Linked DNA regions of Stegostoma tigrinum. The protein of the gene in region 2 interacts with the protein of the main gene of each other region in a pairwise test. Links are inferred from orthologs where the notes say so. Each region holds a gene or a part of one and is shown on either strand. Other genes may lie near its edges.

The links. The genes of interacting proteins can lie anywhere in the genome.
Region 1: the proteins of flt1 (region 2) and shc2 interact in a two-hybrid assay, tested with the Homo sapiens proteins (2 studies listed by BioGRID). The link is inferred for Stegostoma tigrinum from reciprocal best matches to the Homo sapiens genes FLT1 and SHC2.

What each region holds. Positions count from the first base shown.
Region 1 is NC_081383.1:1,005,759-1,016,013, forward strand, and holds the start of shc2 (SHC-transforming protein 2), read right to left. Parts: upstream 4,100-10,255; 5' UTR 2,999-4,099; coding exon 2,546-2,998; intron 1-2,545. UniProt on the Homo sapiens protein: Signaling adapter that couples activated growth factor receptors to signaling pathway in neurons. Involved in the signal transduction pathways of neurotrophin-activated Trk receptors in cortical neurons.
Region 2 is NC_081359.1:79,184,068-79,194,141, reverse strand, and holds the start of flt1 (vascular endothelial growth factor receptor 1), read left to right. Parts: upstream 1-6,337; 5' UTR 6,338-6,692; coding exon 6,693-6,753; intron 6,754-7,303; exon of another isoform or gene 7,304-7,480; intron 7,481-10,074. UniProt on the Homo sapiens protein: Tyrosine-protein kinase that acts as a cell-surface receptor for VEGFA, VEGFB and PGF, and plays an essential role in the development of embryonic vasculature, the regulation of angiogenesis, cell survival, cell migration, macrophage function, chemotaxis, and cancer cell invasion.

The DNA.
Region 1 (10,255 bases), on a different chromosome or scaffold from region 2:
AAGGATTTTGGTGGGATATTTGTCGTAGCAATCTTGAATCAAAAGTTTGTACTAGTTGGATATGAAAAACATAGAAAATATGAGGAGTAGGCCGTTCAGCCCTTCAAGCCTGCTCCACCATTCAATACGATCATGGCTAATCATCCAACTCAGTCCCATGTTGTCACTTTCACCCCCATACCAATTAATCCCTTCAGCCTGAAAGATTCTATCTAACTCCTTGAAAATGTTAAACATTTTTGCCTCAAGCACTTTCAGTAGCAGTGAATTCCACAGGCTTCCCACTCTCTGGGTGAAGACATTTCTCCTCATCTGAATACGAACTGGCCCACCTGGTGGCCTCCGTTTGTTACCACTGGTTCTGGACTCCCCAGCCATGGGGAGTATCCTTCACACTTTTACCCTGTTATTTCAGAGTTTAGGTTTGAGTCAACCACATTGCTGTGGGTCTGAAGTCACATGGTGGTCAGACCAGGACAGCACATCTCTCTCTCTAAAACGACTTTAGTTAAAAACCCCTCTCTATCACAACAACTAGTGACAGGATCATGGTCACCAATTGACTTCTTAATTCCAAACTTTTTTTTAAATTCAAGTTCTACAGTTAGTCACAGACTAATTTAAAATCAGACCCCAAGAACATTATTTGGATCTCTGGATACTGATCCACCATCAATATCACTATCATCACTTTGCTAGCACATTGGATGTTGGCTGTGGTTGTTGGAGGTCAATCATCTCAGCTTCAAGACATCTCTGTCCTTCACCCAACCATCTTCAGCTGCTTCATCAATGACCTTCCCTCCATCATAGGGTCAGAAGTCGGATGTTTGCTGATGATTGCACAGTGTTCAGCACCATTCGTGACTCCTCAGATGCTGAAGCAGTCCATATCCAAATGCAACGACATCTGGATAATATCCAGGAGAGTCCGAAGAAGGATCACTAGACCTGAACTGTTAACTCTCCTTTCTCTCCACAAATGCGGAGTCTTTCCAGCAATTTGTGTTTACGGACATGATTCAGGCTTGGGTGTAGCAAGCAGCATTCATGCCATAAATGCCAGGCAAAGACCATCTACAAAAAGAAAGAATCAAAACCATTGTCTCTTGATATTACCATTGCTAACTCTTCCTCTACGAAGATTCTAGGAGACACAATTGACATTCAACTGGCCTAACCATATAAATGCAGTGGCTACAAAAGCAGGTCAAAGGTTACAGATCTTGCAGCAAGTTACACATTTCCTAACTCTTCAAAGCCTGTCCACTGGCTACAAGGCACTAGTTAGGAGTGTGATGTTATACTGTCCACTTAACTAGATGGGTGCAGTTCCAATAACACTCGAGAAGCTTGGTATCCATCCAGGACAAAGCAGCCCCTACCTGATTGGCACCATATCCTCAAACACTCACTCTCTCCACCACCAACTCATAGCAGCAGTGTGTACTATCTGCAAGATGCACTGCAGAGATTCACCAAAGATCCTCAGGCAGCACCTTCCAAACCCACAACCACTTCCATCCAGGAGGACAGAAGGGCAGAAGATACATGGGACACCAACCCCTGCAAGTTCCCCTCCAAGTCACTCACCATCCTGATTTGGAACTAAATCACCATTCCTTCACCGTCATTGGGACAAAATCCCAAAGGGCATTGTGGGCATACCCACAAATCAAGCAGTTCAGGAAGGCAGCTCACCAGCACCTTCTCAAGGGCAATCCATGTTAAAGATGGGCACTTGGGGATGGGCACTCCCTAGTGGTATTATCACTAGAACAGCACCAGGCAGACCTGATGATGAGGTGCCAACCTGGTGAAGCCAAACAGGACCACTCGCACGCCAAACATCGTAAACAGCAAGTGATAAACAGAGCTAAACAACCTCACAACCAACAGATCTGCCTCTGCTAATCCCCATTGTTCCAGACTCCCCCATGTGAGGAAACATCCCGCCGACCTCTCACAAGCATCAACTCCTTCCTAGGAAGGGCTAAACTGCCCCTTTCTGTGTTAACACATAGAAAATTATCAAATATTTTCCTCAAGTCCCAACAAACGGCAACATTCACCTAAACTGTCCACCTGCTGCTTTTCCTCCAAAAATTCAATCAGAGAAGACCCAACCTTTGGAAAAGGTCATGTTTCTCGCTTTCTCAGACCCGACAGAAGTTTCTGTTCGTGATCAGCCTCTCTCCGCTGCATTATAGATTCTAATTACATTCTCATAAAGTAATTAAATGATAGATTCCAACGGCAGGACCACGTCAGATGCCAGGGTCCAGTGAGTCAATTAGTTCCTGGTTTCTCCTTGCCAATGATATGACCCTGCCTCAGCGACTGCTTTGGGAAGCGCTCTCTGCCCTGCCCTCTCCTGAGGACAGAGTTGGGGCTCGCTCTGGAGGCTCTAGGCTGCAGCTTGTTGTGGGCAATGGGGACGGACCACCCCCTCCTCCCCCCAAAACTACCTGCACGGGCACTGAGTGTGGTCTGCCCCCGGGGGAGTAGGGACACACACCAACACACTTCTGCCCCTGTTACTCACACGGACGATGTAGGAGACCCCGGGACCCAGGATCTTGGTATCTGGGTGTAACCAGCCTCCGGACGGTTTGTTGATGAAACTGCCTTTGCGATTCCACTCCCCCCCGGCCAAGCGCACTCCTTCCACCCGGACCCTCCGGCCACCCCCGGGCAGCCGTGCCGTGGCCTGGACAGAGCAGGGAGGGGGGCACAGCGAGTCACAGGATCCCAGGACAGTGGCCAGGCCGGGCCCCGGGGGGGGAGGCAGCCCTTTGGCCGGGTTCCTGCCTCCCGGCGACGCCGAGAATTTCCAGTGCGGGATTCTGGGGATGAGGGTGCAGAAGGTGGTGGAATCCTCCGGCTCTTCGGCCACGGGAGCTGCACCGAGCTGGCCGCTCATGGTCAGGCTGTGAAACAAGCCGCTTGCTGAGCTGGTCACCGACTCACTTCGAAACCGGCCATACTTCGGCTTCATCAGCGGAGCTGCCCCTCAGTGAAACCTCTCCACACTGAGACTGATCCTGTCCACACTCTCCTGCCCAGCCGCTGATGTCATTTGGGGAATTCATCATCCATTACCCAACAGCCAAACAGAGAGGGGGGGGTGGTCTGGGCACTCTCTCTCCCACTCACACAAACACACTCTCTCTCTCTCTCTCCCACTCTCACAAACACACTCCCTCTCTCTCACACAAACTCCCTCTCTCTCTCACACACACAGGGGCAGGAGACAGTCTGAGATCCCTCTCACAAACACACTCCCTCTCTCACACACGGGGCAGGAGAGAGTCTGAGATCGCTCTCTCTCACAAACACACTCCCTCTCTCTCACACACTCTCCCACTCTCACCAACACACTCCCTGTCTCTCACACACACACACACTCTCTCCCACTCTCACAAACACACTCCCTCCCTCTCACACACCCTCTCTCACACACACTCTCTCCCACTCTCACAAACACACTCCCTCCCTCTCACACACACTCTCTCTCCCTTCGCTCATAAACACACTCCCCCTCTCTCTCTATCACACACACACACGCACACGCACACACTCCCTCTCCCACACACCAACACACACACAGAGGCAGGAGAGAGTCTGAGATCGCTCTCCCTCACAAACACACTCGCTCTCTCACACAAAGGGGCAGGAGAGAGTCTGAGATCGCTCTCTCTCACACACACAGGGGCAGGAGAGAGCCTGAGATTCCTCTCTGTCACATACATTCCCTCTCCCTCAGATAAACACATTCCCTCTCCTTCACACACAGGGGCAGGAGAGAGTCTGAGATCTCTCTCTCTCTCTCTCTCTCTCTGCCTCTCTCTCACACACATACACCCTCTCTCTCTCACACGCACACACACACAGACACACACTCCCTGTCTCACATACATACACTCCCTATCTCTCTCTGTCTTTCTCTCTCTCATACACACACACTCTCTCTCTCCACGCACACACCCTCTCTCTTCCTCTCTCTCACACACACACACGGATACACACTCCTTATCTCTGTCTGTCTGTCTCTCTCTCTCTCTCTGTCTCTCTCTCTCCCACACACACACACACACACACACACACACACACACACACACACACACACACCCTATCTCTCTCTGAGATAATGGGAACTGCAGATGCTGGAGAATCCAAGATAATAAAATGTGAGGCTGGATGAACACAGCAGGCCAAGCAGCATCTCAGGAGCACAAAAGCTGACGTTTCAGGCCTAGACCCTTCATCTGATGAAAGGTCTAGGCCCGAAACGTCAGCTTTTGTGCTCCTGAGATGCTGCTTGGCCTGCTGTGTTCATCCAGCCTCACATTTTATTACCCTATCTCTCTTTGTCTCTCTCTCTCTCTCACACACACACACACACACACACACACACACACACACACACACTCCCTATCTCTCTCTGTCTCTCTCTCTCTCTCCCTCTCTCTCTCTCTCACTCACTCACACACACACACTCCCTATCTCTCTCTCTCTCACACACATACACACACACACGGGCAGGAATGCAGCAAGGAGGTGGTTGCGTTTGGTGTGGGCTGAACATTTTCCTGAATTTTTCTTCCTGTTGCATTTATCAACATCTCTGCCTCTGACATTTTTAGCTGATTGTATTTGCTCACTCTGATTGATTACAGAATCCTGTCCCAGTAAAATTGAGAATACAGGAACAGGCCAAGATTATTCCTCCCTTCTATCCTGTCCCACTGATTAGATTTTGCTTGGTCTCGGTTTAACTCCCAGTTTTTTGCATTGGTCTCATCACCCTGAGCTGTGGGGAGGGCAGTCTTGAACTTCAAGAGTAAAATAAAACAAAGAAGTGCAGGTGCTGGAGATCTGAAACCAAAACAGAAATCATTGAGAAAATTAGCAAGTCGGGCAGCTGCTGCGGAGAGAAAACAGTTAACATCATCATTTAAACTTCAAGAGGACATGGACAGTTTGGAGGAAAGGGCTAACAAATGGCGAATGAAATTTTAATGCAAACAAGCATGAAGTGATTTATTTTGGTACACAGAATATGGAGAGAAAATACAAAATAAAGGGCACAATTTTACAGGGATGAAGGTACTTGGATGTATACATGCATAGATCATTGGCTGTGTCAGGACAGGTTGAGAGCACAGTAAACACAGGACTGTGATCTGGTCTTTGTTGTTAGGGGCATGGAGTATAAGAGGAAGGAAGTGGTGTTAAATCGGTGATGAATACTGATTCAACCTCAGCTACGCCATTGTATTCAGTTCTGGGCATCACACTAAAGGAAGGACATCACCACATTGGAGAAGGCACAAAGAAGAACTTCAGTGATCTGGAGTAATTGGAAAAGCTGGGATCGTTTACATTGGAGAAGATTAAGAGGCAGTGAAAGTCCCGAGGGATCTGGGCAGGGTAAATATAGAGAAACTGTTCCTATTAGTCAAAGGATCAAGATCAAGAGAGCAGAGATTTAAATGATTCACAAAAGAAGGAAATGTGACATTTTTTATTCACTCATGAAATGTGGGTATTGCTGGTTGGGCCCAGCATTTCTTGTCCATCCCATGTTGCCCCTTGAGAAGGTGGTGGTGAGCTGCCTTATTGACCTGCTGCAGTCCATGTGCTGTAAGTTGACCCACAATACACTTAGGGAGGGAATTCCAGGATTCTGACTCAGCAGCACTGAAGGAATGATGATATAAAGTCAGGATGGTGAGTGGCTTGGAGGGGAACTTGGAGGTGGTGGTGTTCCCATGTATCTGCTGTCCTTGTCTTTCTAGATGGAAGTGGTCATGAGTTTGGAAGGTGCTGTCTGAGGATCTTTGGTGAATTTCTGCAGTGCATCATGTAGATAGTACACACTGCTGCAACTGAGCACCTGTGACAGCGAGAGTGGATTTTTGTGGATGTGGTGCCAATCAGGTGGGCTTTGTCCTGGATTGTGTCAAGATTTTTAAGTGTTGTTAAAACTGCACCCATCCAGGCAAGTGAGGAGTATTCCATCACATTCCTGACTTGTGCCTTGCAAATGATGACTTTGGGGAGTCAGGAGGTGAGTTACTTACCATTGTATTCCTAGTCTCTGGCTTGCCATTGTAGCCGCTGGATTTATATGGCTAGTCCGGTTCAGCTTTTGGTCAAAGCGCACTCCCGAGTACCTTGATGGTGGGGAATTCAATGATGGTAATGCCATTGAGTGCTGGGTGGCAATGGTTAGATTTGCTGTTGTTGGAGACTGCCTTGTATTTGGCCCAAACGTTATCTACCGTATACCAGATAAGTGCCAGACTCAGTTGAATGTGGACCTGATATCAAGGGTAGTCACTCTCACCACACACTTGGAATTCAGGTCTTTGTCCCTATTTGGATGAAAGCTGTACTGAGAGAGGGAACTGTGTGAGCGGCACAACCCAAACTGGCCATCAGTGAGTAGGCTCTTGCTAAGCATTATCAACTTTCAAAAGGACAAAAGAGAAGTCTGGATCAGGAACAGGCCTTTCGGCCCTCCAGGCCTGTGCTGATCATCATGCCCTGACTAAACTAAAGAACAAACATTCTGCCTTTATTTGGTCCATATCTCTCTATTCCCTCCCTATTCATGTAGCCATCCAGATGCCTCTTAAATGTTACCAATGTGCCTGATTCGACCTCCTCCTCTGGCAGTGCATTCCAGGCTCCTACCACTCTCTGCATGAAAAACTTCCCTCGCACATATCCCTTAAATTTTCCCCCTCTCACTTTGAACTTGCACCCCCTTGTAATTGAAACTTCAACCCCAGGAAAAGGTCTCTGACTACCCAAGCTATCTGTGCCTCTTATTATTTTGTACACCTCCATCAGGTCTCCTCTCAGCCGCTGTCTTTGAAGTGAAAACAATCCTCATCTTTTTAACCTTTCCTCATAGCCAATACCCTTGAGACCAGCCATAGTTCATCTGTCTTACCTGTTATACTTTTTGCATTGAAGTAAATACACTCCAGACCTCCAGTCCCTCCGAACCCTGTGACATCCCTCTGCTCGCTCTTACTCTGTGCGATGCATATCTCAGTCTCTCTTTTGTCCCGACTGCCTGCTCTTACTGGTCTGTTGTTCTGATCCCCTGCCCCAGCCCCTGCCACACTAGGTTAAACCACCCCCACCCGCCCCGCAGATCTGTAGCAAACCTCCCACCCAGGATATTGGTGCCCCACCAGTTAAGGTGCAACCTGTCATTTTTATCATTTTGCTGCTGCTCAATAGCAGAGGAGTAACTTTCCGCGTTGGAGTTGTCCTGGTTTCTGTCGTCATCAGAAAACACATTTCTGTACAGCGAGTGGCTTGGGTGCTTAAGTATGTGATGGAGGTAGCTTCAATTGAGGTATTCCCAAGTGAATTAGAAAGTTATTTGAAAAGGGCTACAGGGAGATGATACTAAATAGCACTGCTCCTTGTGAGGGTTTGCACAAATTTGATGGCCAAATGGTCTTGTTGTGTACTGTAACCACTTCGTGATTCACTCCTGACAAAATCAACAAACCTCAGTATCGGAGAGGGTTCCAGATTTCCACTCCTGTCTGTATGAGGAAGTGCCTCCTGACATCACCCCTGAACAGTCTGGCTCAAATTAAAAGGTGATTTCCTTCTGCTCTGGCCATTTCCCAACTACATCCCCACCCATCTCTATATAATGACCCAGTCATTATGCTCTTCAATCCTGGGTAGGTCTCCCCTTGACACAGTGCCAGTTATCAAACTCTGCTCCTTGGACCACAGCTCCCTTCTGTTATTCATTTCCCATCTGCTCTATTGCAGACAGCTGCATCTGTCAGGCTCTCATTTCTGTGCTCGGAAATTGCCCAGTCCTGAATGGGGACCTTTTGCCATTCTGACGCTGAAATACATTTAGCCAGAATGCTCACAGCCTTTTTGCTGCTTCAGCTGCCATTTACTTGCAACAGCAGGAGGCGGTGATTTACAGAATGGATGCAAACCTTATGGTTGGAATATTTTTAAGGAAGGTGAGGATTTAAGTATGAGAGTTTGCATCTTCCATCTCCCCACCATCAATGACCCTGCAACAGCTGTGTATGAAGCTGCATGAAAGAGCAGATCTGTAACTAGCACACAGCTGCTTCCATGTATCTGTCAACAATGACCAGCTTCCCATCTATTCAACTCAGTTTCAGTGGGAAACACTGTACATTGAGGGTTAAAACCATGGCTCAGGAGGACCACTCACTCTGCTTGGTCAGAATATAGTAGGTTCAAGGAATATGAATACATAATTCAGCTTGACAAGCCCCCCCAAGATGAAAACAGAAAGTGCCGAAGTAATTCAACAAGTTGGCAGCATCTGAGAAAAGAAAAACAGAGTTAGCGTTTTGAGTCCAACGTGACTCTTCACAAAGGAAAGGAATTGGAAAATGCTATTTTGTGTTATTGGCAGAGCAGGAAAAGGAGCAATTGGAACAGATTATGAGGTGCCCAAAGCAAAAGACTAAAGGAAAACTAATGGGCTAAAGGAGTGATTGAGGTGTAAGAAACAAGGAGGACAGAAGTCATGCTCTGAAGTTGTGAAACTCAGTATTGGGTCCTTGAGGCTGCCTCAGTGAAAAATGAGATGTTCCTTAAGCTTGTGTTGAGCTTCACTGAGTTTTTGACAGGCACAGACCAGATATGCTAGTATGAGAGCAAGGTGATTTATTGAAATAGCAGCAGGCAACTTGGTTCTCAGGGTCATCCATACAGACAGAGTGGAGGTGCTCTCCAAAACAGTTACACAATCCATGATAACAAAGTGTGAAGCTGGATGAACACAGCAGGCCAAGCAGCATCTTAGGAGCACAAAAGCTGACATTTCAGGTCTCACTCAATCCATGTTTGGTCTCACTAATGTAAAGCAAACTGCATTGTGAGCAGCGAATGCAGTAGACTACATTGAAATAAACTCAAATAAAATGCTGCTTCACCGGGAAGCTGTGTTTGGGGCCATGGAAAGTGAGGAGTGAGGAGGTGAACGCACAGGAGTTACACTTTCTGCAACTGTGTGGGAAGATGCCATGGGGAAATGAGGAAATCTGGGGTTCAATGGAGCAATGGCAGGATGTCAGAAAAGGAACAGTCCCTGTAGAATGCTGACAATGGAGGGGAGGAGAAGATGTATTTGATATCTTACTGTGGCTGTCTGAAATGGAATTCATTCCTGGTGGGGTGGAAAGTGAGGCTAAAAGGAACTTTACCATTATTCCAGAAAGGACGCAAGTAGTGAACAGAAGTGTGGATCAGAAAATGGCTCAGGGAACCGTCAACTACAGTGAGGGTGGATCCTTGCTTGAAGATAAAGGAACCATGTTGAAGGTAGCCCGGTGAAAGGTGGCATCATCAGAACAGATGCAGAAATTTCTGGAGAACACAGCAATCTGACAACATCTCTGGAGAGAAAGCAGAGTTAATATTTCAAATCTGGTGACTCTTCATCAGAACAATTCTGAGGAAGGGACACAAGACCCAAAATGTTGATAGTGCTTTCTGTCCACAGATGCTGCCAGACCTGCTGAGTTTCTCCAGCAATTTCTGTCTTTGTTTCAGATTTCCAGCATCATCAGTTCTTTGTTTTATGAGAACAATGCAATTGAAACAGAAAAACTAGGAGAATGGAATGGATCCTTGCCGGAAGCAGGGTGTGAGGAGGGCTAGTTGAGGTAACCACGTGTCTCAATGGTTTTGTAGTGGATATTGTTCCCAGAAATGGGCAGAGTGAAGTCAACAAAGGGAAAAGTCAGAGATAGACCAGATGTGAAGGGAGAGAAGGATGGAAATTAGAAACAAAGCTGATGGTATTTTCCAAATGCAGACCACAGCAGGAAGAAGCACTGATTACATGGTCAACTATTGGAGAAAGAGTTGTTGGTTAAGGCCCAAGTACATCTGGAACAAGGAATGTTCCACAGACCCCACAAAGAAAGAGACAGGGCTGGGACCCATGTGGGTACCTACGGCCACACCTTGGACTTGTAGAAAGTGAGATGAGTCAAAGGAGAAGTTGATCAAAGAGAGAATAAATGATTAATAAGACACTTCTAGTGAACAAGTGAGAGACTGCTCCACCATCAGAGGGTCACTGCAGAGAGAGCACTGCACTGGCTAAGGGCTACATTAACCTAAGGCCCTGTCTGCCCAGTCGGGATGATGTTATTGCAGATTGTGGAAACTCACTGCGTACATTGTGGTTGCTGTTTTTATTTCTTTACAACAG
Region 2 (10,074 bases):
TCCCTTTCCCCTCCCCATTTCTGAAGAAGGGTCCCGACCCAAAACGTCAACTTTTCTGCTCATCTGATGCTGCCTGGCCTGCTGTGTTCCTTTAGCTCCATACTGTGTTGTCTTTAAGATCCAAGAATGTTATGGAAAGAGATTCAATTGTGGCTTACAGAAAGGATATTAAATCCAGGCATCTGTCTGCCCTCTCGGATGGACACAAGAGATTCCAAGACACTACTTTGAAGAAGAATACTGTTTTACTTGCCAATATTTATTCCTCAACCAACATCATAAAAAAAAATCTGATCATTAACATATTACTGTTGTGCAAAATTTGACTGCATGTTTCCTACATTATAATATGATGATTCTTAAGTATTTAATTGATTGTAAATGTATTTTTCTGACTGATGGTCATGAAAGGTACTATGGAAGTGAAAGCCTTTATTGATCAATTGCTGATATGCATATTAACTGCATTTACTCCATATGACCATAAAATGTAGGACAGAAGTAGGCCAGTTACCCCATCAAGTCTCTAATACCATTTAGTTAGATCATTACTAATCTGATTATCTTCAACTCCACTTTCCTGCTGTTTCCCTATTACTCTTGATTCCTTTACTGATTAAAAATCTGTCTATATCAGCCTTGAATACACTGAACAATCCAACCTCAAAAACCCTGTGCAGTTAAAAAAGTCTTCTAAGTTTCATTGACTTTAATACGTTTACTTAATTGTAGAAGTCTTGGATCTAAAATTTTGATTTGCTTAGGCTTTTGGTGGAGAGAATTCCCGGCTTTGACTATTCTCTGCACAACATTTGTAAATTTTCTGTAAATTTATGATATGTATTTGCTTTAATTAATAGGCTACTAGGATCCAAATCAAACTTTGACTGTTAACAAAAATGGAATAACTTCAACGAAAAATTGGGTAAGTAGACTAAAAGATATGGTTGTAAATAATCAGTGACAAAACATTTAAAAACAACTTCAAAATGTTAAACGAAAATCTATTCCATTGAAAACAAAACTCAATGAGAAAGATCCATCTATGATTTCCCAATAAGGTTAAGGATAATATTAGATAGTTAAAAAGGCATATGATGTTGAAAAGGATGGTAATAAGTCTTGGGGTTGGGAATGTTATAAAAGCAGAAAAAAACCCCCAAAAAAATTAATAGAAAAGGAAGAACTAGAATATGAGAATATTGAAGAAAATATAAACTAGTTAGGAATATCAAAGTCGAGTGAAAGAGCTTTTAAAGGGGAAGAAAAATGAAGGCAGTAGCCTAAAGTAAGCATTTGTCGCTTAGAAGCAGAATCAAGATAGATTATCATGGGGTTTGAAAAAACGACAAAGACATGGAATAAATATTTTCTGTCTGTCTTCATAAGTTGCATACCAGAGAAAGGGGGTAATCTAGGGGCTGAATAAGAGTAAGGTAATCATTATCAGAAGAGAAAAATTACTGAAGAAACTCATCAGACTAAAATCAAAATGCCTGTGACTGATTGCTCACATCCTACATTTTGAAAACAAATAGCTAGAGAGATAATGGATGCTCTGGCAATGATTTTCCAAAATTCCCAAGTCTCTGGAGTAGTCCTAGTGGTATAATTAAGAAAGTCTTAACAATGCATCTTTAAAAAGCATTGTTTGATTTAAATAAGTTTAAGAAAAAGAGCACTATGTATCAGAAGCAGTTCTGAGGAAGGGTCACCAGAGCAGAAACATTAACTCTGATTTCTGTTCACAGATGCTGCCGGACCTGCTGAGCTTCTCCAGCAAATTCTGTTATCGTTTCTAACTTACAGCATCTGCGTTCTTTTGGATTTTTTTTAAGGACTGCAAATGTTGGAAATCAGAAACACAAACAGAAGAAATGCTAACTGTGCTCTCTCCACAGATGCTGCCATACCTACTGAGTTTTCCCAGCAACTTCTGTTTATGTTTGAGAATAAGCCAACTGGTTTTATAAAAGAAAAATAATGTTTTACTGACTTATTACTTTTTGAGAATGTAAGTATATGGGGACCAGTTCATGTAGTATATTTGAATTTCCATATGGCATTCAATGAGGTGTCCCATAAAAAGATAATGTACAAGAGCTCATAGAGATAGGTGTTACATATTAAAATGTCTTGCTTAATTGTGCCAGGCTTTAGTGAGACCACATATTTCCGAGTCAGAATGGTGAGTGGCTTGGAGGGGAACTTGTAAGTAATGGTGTTCCTATGTATCTGCTGTCCTTTTACTTCTAGACAGAACTGATCTTGGGTCTGGAAGGTGTCGTCTAAATAATGCTTAACAATGTAGAGATTGAATGGTTGTTTCTCCTGGTTGGGGAGTCCAGAGCAAGAGGACACAATTTCAGAGGAAAGAGTGGACTGTTTAGGATTTAGATAAGGACAAATGTCTTTATTCAAATGGTTATGAATCTTTGGAATCCTCTCTCCCAGAGCGTTGTAAATGTACCATCATTGAATATATTTAAGATTCAGATAGATTTCTTTTGCCTCACAGGAAATCAAGGAGTATGAGGGGAAGTTGAAGCTGCAAGATCAGCCGCGAACTTATTGAGTGGCAGAGCAGCTACAGGGGACTACTTGGGCTTCTCCTGCTCCTTATTTTTCATTCTTTCAGGGAATGTGGACATCACCACCCAGGTCAGCATTCATTTATTGCCCATCCCAAATGGCTTTGAAGAAGGCGCTGGTGAACCACTTTCTTGAATTGCTGCAGTCCACGATCTGTAGGCACATCTAAAGTTAGCCCAGTAAAAGAGGAGAGATGGTGGTACATTTCCATCTCAGGATGTGGTGTGACTTGGATGGGAACATGCAGGTGGTGGTTTTCCCATGCATCTTCTGCCCTTGTCCTTGCAATTGCTAGAGGTTGGTGGTTAAAATGTGCTGTCAAATGAAGCTTGGTGAGTTACAGAAGTGTATCATGGAGTTGGTACACACTACCACAATTAGGCATCAGTAGTGAGCGAGTGAATGTTAAAAGCGATGGATGGAATACCAATCAAGCGGGCTGCTGTGTGCTGGATGCTTTCAAGCTTCTTGAGTGTTCTAGAGTCTAGCAAGTGGACAGTGTTCCACCACATCCTTACATTTGCCTTTTTGATGGTAGAAAGGCATTGGGAAAACATAGAAACAAAGAAAATAGTAGCAGATGTTGTGCATTCAGTCCTTCAAACCTATTCTACCATTCAATATAATCATTGCTGTTCATCCATCCCAGTATGCTGTTTCCACTTTCCCACATTCCCTTTGATTCCTTTAGCCCTAAGTGCCATGTCTAACTCCTTGAAAACACTTTTTTTGTTTCAACCACTTCCTATGCCAGAGAAATCCACTGGCTCACCACTCCCTGGGTGAAGAAATTTCTTGTTATCTCAGTCCTAAATGAGTAGTTCATATTTTTAGACTATAAGCCCAGCATCTGGAATTCCTGGTCATCAGGAACATCCTCTCTACTGTTTATCATCTCTAGTTGTGTTTGAATTTTATAGGGTTTCTATGAAATCCAGCTCCCCCCACCATTTTTCTAAACTTCTGTGAATATTGTCTTTGTTCATGCATGAGGTCTTCAATCCTGGCAATCCGTCAGGTAAGCCTTTGTTGAACTTCCTCCATAGCCAGAACATCCTTCTTCAGATAAGGAGACCAAAGTTACACACAGTGCACCAGATGTGGTCTTACTAAGGCCCTGTACAATTGCAACAAGATATCCATGCTCTTGTATTTGAATCCTCTTGCAATGAAGACCAACATACCATCGATGCTGCCTACCACACGTGCATGCTTACTTTCAGTGACTGGTGTACAAGGACGTCCAAGTCTTCATTGATATCCCCTTTTGCCAATGCATTGCCATTCAGATATCAGTCTGCTTCCCTGGTTTTACTACCATGGTGTACAACCTCACACTTGTCTATATTATACTTCACTTGCCACATATTTATCCACTCACTCAACTTGTCCAAATCACACTGAAACATCTTGGTGTCCTTCTCACAGCCCACCCTCCCACCCAGCTATGTGTAGTCTACAAACTTGGAGATTTTACATTTAGTTCCCTCATTTAAATCATTAATATATGGTGTTAATAGCTGGGAACCAAGCATAGATTCCTATAGTATCAGACTTGGCATTGCGTGCTGTTTGGAAAAAAGATCCTTTTTTCCCTACTCTTTCCCCCCCCCCCCCCCCACCGCGGCGTGTTGTAAAGCAGGACCACCAAAGTGGGTCTGACACAAGCAGTTAATGTGAATAAAAATGAGCTCCTGTGTGTCACTTGAGGCTTCCCACGGCTGTCTCCCCCGTCAACTTCCCCCCCCCCACCAAAACACACACACAGGCACACACGCCACGCACCCCCGTTTCCAAAACTGGCCAAAACATCAGACAGTTTGTTACCCACACTTAAAACATTGAGAGCTTCCCCAATTTCAGAAATAAGCGATTCCCACCAGACTGCCATTCACTGCAACCAGCATTGCCCACGACTCAAGATTATGCACCAAATCCCTGCATTTGGCATACATATATGCTTTTTTTTGTCCAATGCACCAACAGTTGGATGAGCATTTGACTAAACACTGTGCGATGAGTCACTGTTTCTAACTTGATGTCGTGATAGATGTCACGGTGGGAGTAGAATGCAGCTCTACGCCCGAAACGTCAACTTTCCTGCTCCTCTGATGTCGCCTGGCCTGCTGTGCTCCTCCAGCTCCACACTGTGTTATCTATTATTTGCAACATATTTGCCCAAGCCTGGATGTGATCCAGGTTTTCCTGCATGTGGACATCCAGTCTGCTTCCTTCTTGGAGGCTAAATGTTGTGCAGTCACACATCACTTCTTTTGATTTTATGACCACCTATTTAATGTTCTTAAAGTTCTGACGGTGAACCCCAGCAAAATCTAGACCCAATTTAAAGCAAATGACAGATGGCCCCAGCGTTCAATGTGCCTGGTTGCGTATTTTTTTGCGCAGTATCACAGGCTCCATGTGATGTCCAGCTCGATATCCCATCAGCGCGGGAAAGGCAAGGGCGGGCATCATTTCAGTCACGCACTGAGAGTGTGTTCTGGGGAAAGCAAAACAGGCTCAGCTTTTCGTGGCAAGATCCTTAAAAGTGTCTTTTCTACTTTGGTTTGCATTAGCACAAGGCCAGTCCACTGGGTTAAAGGCTTATTCTGAACAGAAAACACGCTTTGTAAAAATGTGTCACGTCGGATTCAGCTTTTGATTATTTGAGCGTTAGATGTCCGATATGTGCAGCTACTTCCTCAAGACCTCCCATCCCCATTTGTGTAATGTTTAAATGCTTCTCAACACGCAAATAAGGTTGTTTCCTTCCTGCCAACCGTGAGAATGGCCAAAGTTCCGACAGGAAAATCAAGCACATGAGGAAACACACAACAAAACGTGTCCATTACCTCTTCAAATCGAATTTACATTCTACTCCCACCGTGACATCTATCACGACATCAAGTTAGAAACAGTGACTCATCGCACAGCGTTTAGTCAAATGCTCATCCAACTGTTGGTGCATTGGACAAAAAAAAGCATATATGTATGCCAAATGCAGGGATTTGGTGCATAATCTTGAGTCGTGGGCAATGCTAGTTGCAGTGAATGGCAGTCTGGTGGGAATCGCTTATTTCTGGAATTGGGGAAGCTCTCAATGTTTTAAGTGTGGGTAACAAACTGTCTGATGTTTTGGCCAGTTTTGGAAACGGGGGTGCGTGGCGTGTGTGCCTGTGTGTGTGTTTTGGTGGGGGGGGGAAGTTGACGGGGGAGACAGCCGTGGGAAGCCTCAAGTGACATACAGGAGCTCATTTTTATTCACATTAACTGCTTGTGTCAGACCCACTTTGGTGGTCCTGCTTTACAACACGCCGCGGTGGGGGGGGAGGGAGGGGGTTGATGATGGTTAGGAATTGGGGCGGAAGGGGAGCCGGACTGGTGGGTAGGGGTGGTAAATCAGAATAATGCCTCTGGTGTATCTCCCCCCCCCCGCCGCCGCTTATGAAACGGTTCTATTTTGATTTATTCAACGAGAAAGCTATAAAATATTCCTGTAATAATGGCCGCTGTTTTCTGTGAATTGAGAATATAATTGCCTAGCAATACCAACCTTCAGAACAGCTAAGCGATTTCCGCAGTTTGTAACGTTTCCAAGCTGGCTGACTAATTTGAAATTAATTCATACTGAGAGAAATAGCAAACTGGCCGTGGACAGGACCACAGTCCAGATTCTGGAAGGCAATTTGTCTGCCAAGATTCCTGTCGACGTCACTAGGGTGTAACATTTCCGAGGCGAGTTCACGGGAGTGGTATAAAAGCATGGGCCACCGAATACAAAGTAGAAATGACCGGAGTGTAGTCTATCTGAATTGTACTGGATACATTATTCACGGCCTGAGATTTGTTAATACCATCGGTGATTTGTGAAATTTGTGCTGGTTTACCAGAGCTGACCTGAAGGGCACAACTTTAGTGAAGTCGGGCAGTGTTGGTACTGGACATAGAGAGGGCTTCACACTGGAGCTGTGTGTGTGACAACATTGGGCTGACATAGAGAACCGATACATTTTTAACCTTTGGAGGAAAGCCGTCTTCATTGACTGAAGCGTTCATCATAACAGCGTTGAACAGGAACGCGGCACTTGCTTCACTTCAAGATGTCTTTCGTTTTAATAGCATTTGTGCTCTATAATCAGATTGAAAATATAGCTACAGCGCGTAAGTAATATTCGATTTTACACATTCTACAAATTCTAAAAACCATGGCAATTGTAAAGAGAAAGAAGAAATGTAGTTTCTTCTGGTGTATTGCAAATCGACTGTCTTGTCTTCCGGCGCTTTTACCAAATGTTTAACCAACTGTTCTTTATTGAAAAGATCCATTCTGATTCATACCAGTTACAGAGAACTGATTGCCTCATCCTTAGCGGGATGCCCCCGCGGTTTCCCGCGAACCATCACTTGATGGAAGTGAAGGCTCTCAGTGTTAGAGGTGTGAGTATCCTCCTCCTGGAAAAGGGACCAGTTAGCGACATGATGGTCGACCAGCTTTGGAATGACGAACGAGCTACTCTGGGGAAAGACAGTAGCTTTATTTAAAGAAAAATCTGTTAGTGGATTGTATCGAAAAAAGGTAACGGTTATAATAACGATGAAATAAACGAGTGCAGTAGGTGCCCTTCATCTCCCAGTAATCCATTCTGAATTCTGAATTAAATTTTCTCAGCGGTTGTGCGCGAACAGAGACAAATCCCACATCTTGCGCGACGTTACTGGTGCAGTACCTGAGCTAAAACAAACCACTCCTGGTTATTGCGGAGCAACGAAAGGACAGTGGGTGTGATTTTGAAAATAACGTCAGACAGTGCAGTGATTCAGGTCTGCTGTTCTCGAATTCCCTGGTGGGGAACCCATAGCACCTTCTCTCGACTCTCATCACCTCCAGGTTCGCTGTCTACGTTTTTAAAAGGTCGTGCGTTGATTTGAGATTCCAGTAGAGGCAGTACTTCCAGGTTTTTTTTCTCTCCTGACTGTTTTAATCAATCATAGACAACAAGGTGTCGAGCTGGATGAACTCAGCGGACCAAGCAGCATCACAGGAGCAGGAAAGCTGACGTTTCGGGCCTAGAATCTTCTTCAGAAGGCTTCTGGTTAGAGTTAGGGTCATTTCTGAAGAAGGGTCTACGCCCGAAAAGTCAGCCTTCCGGCTCCTCTGATGCTGCTTGGCCTGCTGTGTTCATCCAACTGTACACCTTGTTACTTCAGATTCTCCAGCATCTGCAGTTACTACTATCTCTGTTTTAATCAACCCCTTGCGCTGTGAATTGTGACATCGCGAATGGAACACAGTCGCCCGGTTTTTGGGGAAGGTGGACAGCTACATTGGTTTGCACACGGAGCTCCGACGTTCTGAAAGTGAGATTGCAGATAAAGCGGAGCTCACACCCTTGTAATTCGACAGTGTGGCAGATGAACTAATAATTCCTAATATCTAACACGAGCAATTGCTCACTTATAATTGCTTAATAGTGGGATTATTTTCGGTTAAGTACGCTATTTGTATCAGAAATTTAAGATAGACTTCACCAGTTGACGTTTCTAATGTAACGTAGAAACGAAATCAAAATACTCCAGTTGCTGGAAATCTGAAATGAAGACAGAAATGGAACAGACATGATGCCAGACTTGTTGAGTATTTTCACTTTTTTTAACTTGTCAGTAACATTACTGACCGAACAGACTATAGATTGGATGTAATTAGACATGTTCGCATTAAACCACAAACCTTCCGCATGGAGATTCCAGAGGGATTTGATGGGGGTTGGGGGTGGCCGCAGTTTTTGTTGCACTGTGGGTGGGTTGAAGAAGCGGCGCGGTTCTGCCCCGCACTACGGCTGGAGATGCTCAATAGCACGTCCTCACTCTGTCTTCACAGTCGTTTCAAACCCAACCTACCGCAGCTCCTTTTGTAGCTGTTGAACGCTCCGGCGCAGCTCAGGTAGTCCACATTGAGAGAACGCTCAGTGCATGACCCAAGGCGCGAAGTGGGTTGGAAATGGAATGAATGCAAGATTATCAGTTGACCCAGGTCATATTCGCATCAAACTAAAGTCTAAAAAGCAACAACCAATCATGATTTCAGCAGCTCTGTGACACCAATAAGCTGCATGCTTTATTAAGTGACAGTTTGAGTTGTAATACCTTTGTAGAATAATAATGTACAGGATTCATCAGTAATGTATAAAGTTTAAACTCCTCACAAACAAAAAATAGCACTTCAACACAGCGATCAATTCAGAATATGAAATCAGCAAATGTCTTTATCTTCAGCGCATCTTCCCGAATGATTTTATTTGGTTCAGACATGACAAGGAAGGAGGAGATGGGAAGCCATGGTATGGTATTAATACAATGGGACCAGTAATTCCAAAAATCCCCGCCAATGTTTAATTTCAGTTACGAGGAAAAATTCAACAAGTTGGAACTTTTTGAAGGGAAGGGCTGAGAGAAGATCTGATAGAACATTTGGAAATCATATACATGAAGACGAAATGCTTGGAGGGACATAGGCCGAGCGTAGACAAGTGGGACTAATTTAGTTTGGGTTTACGGCCAGAATGGACCGGTCCGTTTCCGGGCTTTATCGCTCTAAGAGCGGTTGGATAGTATAGATAAGGAGAAGCTGTTCCTTCTAGTAAAAGCTTCAAGAACTAGAGGGTGTAGATTTGAGAATTTAATGTGAGGAAGAACATTTTCACGCAGAGGGCGGTGGGAATCTGGAACTCACTGTTTGTAAGGGTGGTGCAGGCAGAAACCCTCATAACATTGAAATATCTAGATGCCAAGGCATTAAAGGCTATGGGCCAAGTGCTAGAAAATGAGATTAGAATAGTTAGGAGGGTGATTTTGACAGGTTCAGACTGTCAAAGGGCATTTTCCTGTGTTGTAAATCTCTGCGACTCTACCTTTTAAAGTGATTTGCAAAAGAGGCAAATGTGAACTGAGAAAAATCTGCCTGGATGTGTGTGGAATTGAATTCAATTTACGCATTCAAGATGGTATCGGATGATTGTTTGGATGTAAATAATTTGCAAGGTTAGGGAGAAGAAGCAAGAGATTGGGAGTAGGCAAAAAAACAAAAACGGCCATGCTGGAAATCTGAAGCAAAAACTGTTTTTGTTTGGAAAATCTCAGCAGGTCCGACAGCATTTGTGGAGAAAAATCAGAATTAACATTTCGGGTTCAGTGGCCCTTCTTTAGAACAGGCTCACTGAATCTGAAACATTAACTCAGATTTCTCGCCACAGATGCTGCCAGACCTGTTGAGATTTTCCAGCAATTTCTGTCTATGCCTCAGATTGGAGGTAACTGCATGTTGCTTGTTTGAAGTGCCAGTGCAGACACGATGGGCCGAACAGCCTCTTTCAGCACCTACTAATCCTGTCATTCTTCTGTAGAATGTGTTAATCCTAATCGCATCCATTTTATACTATTTTGTATGGAGTATTATAACTAAGTGGAACTGCGTTGAATGAATGA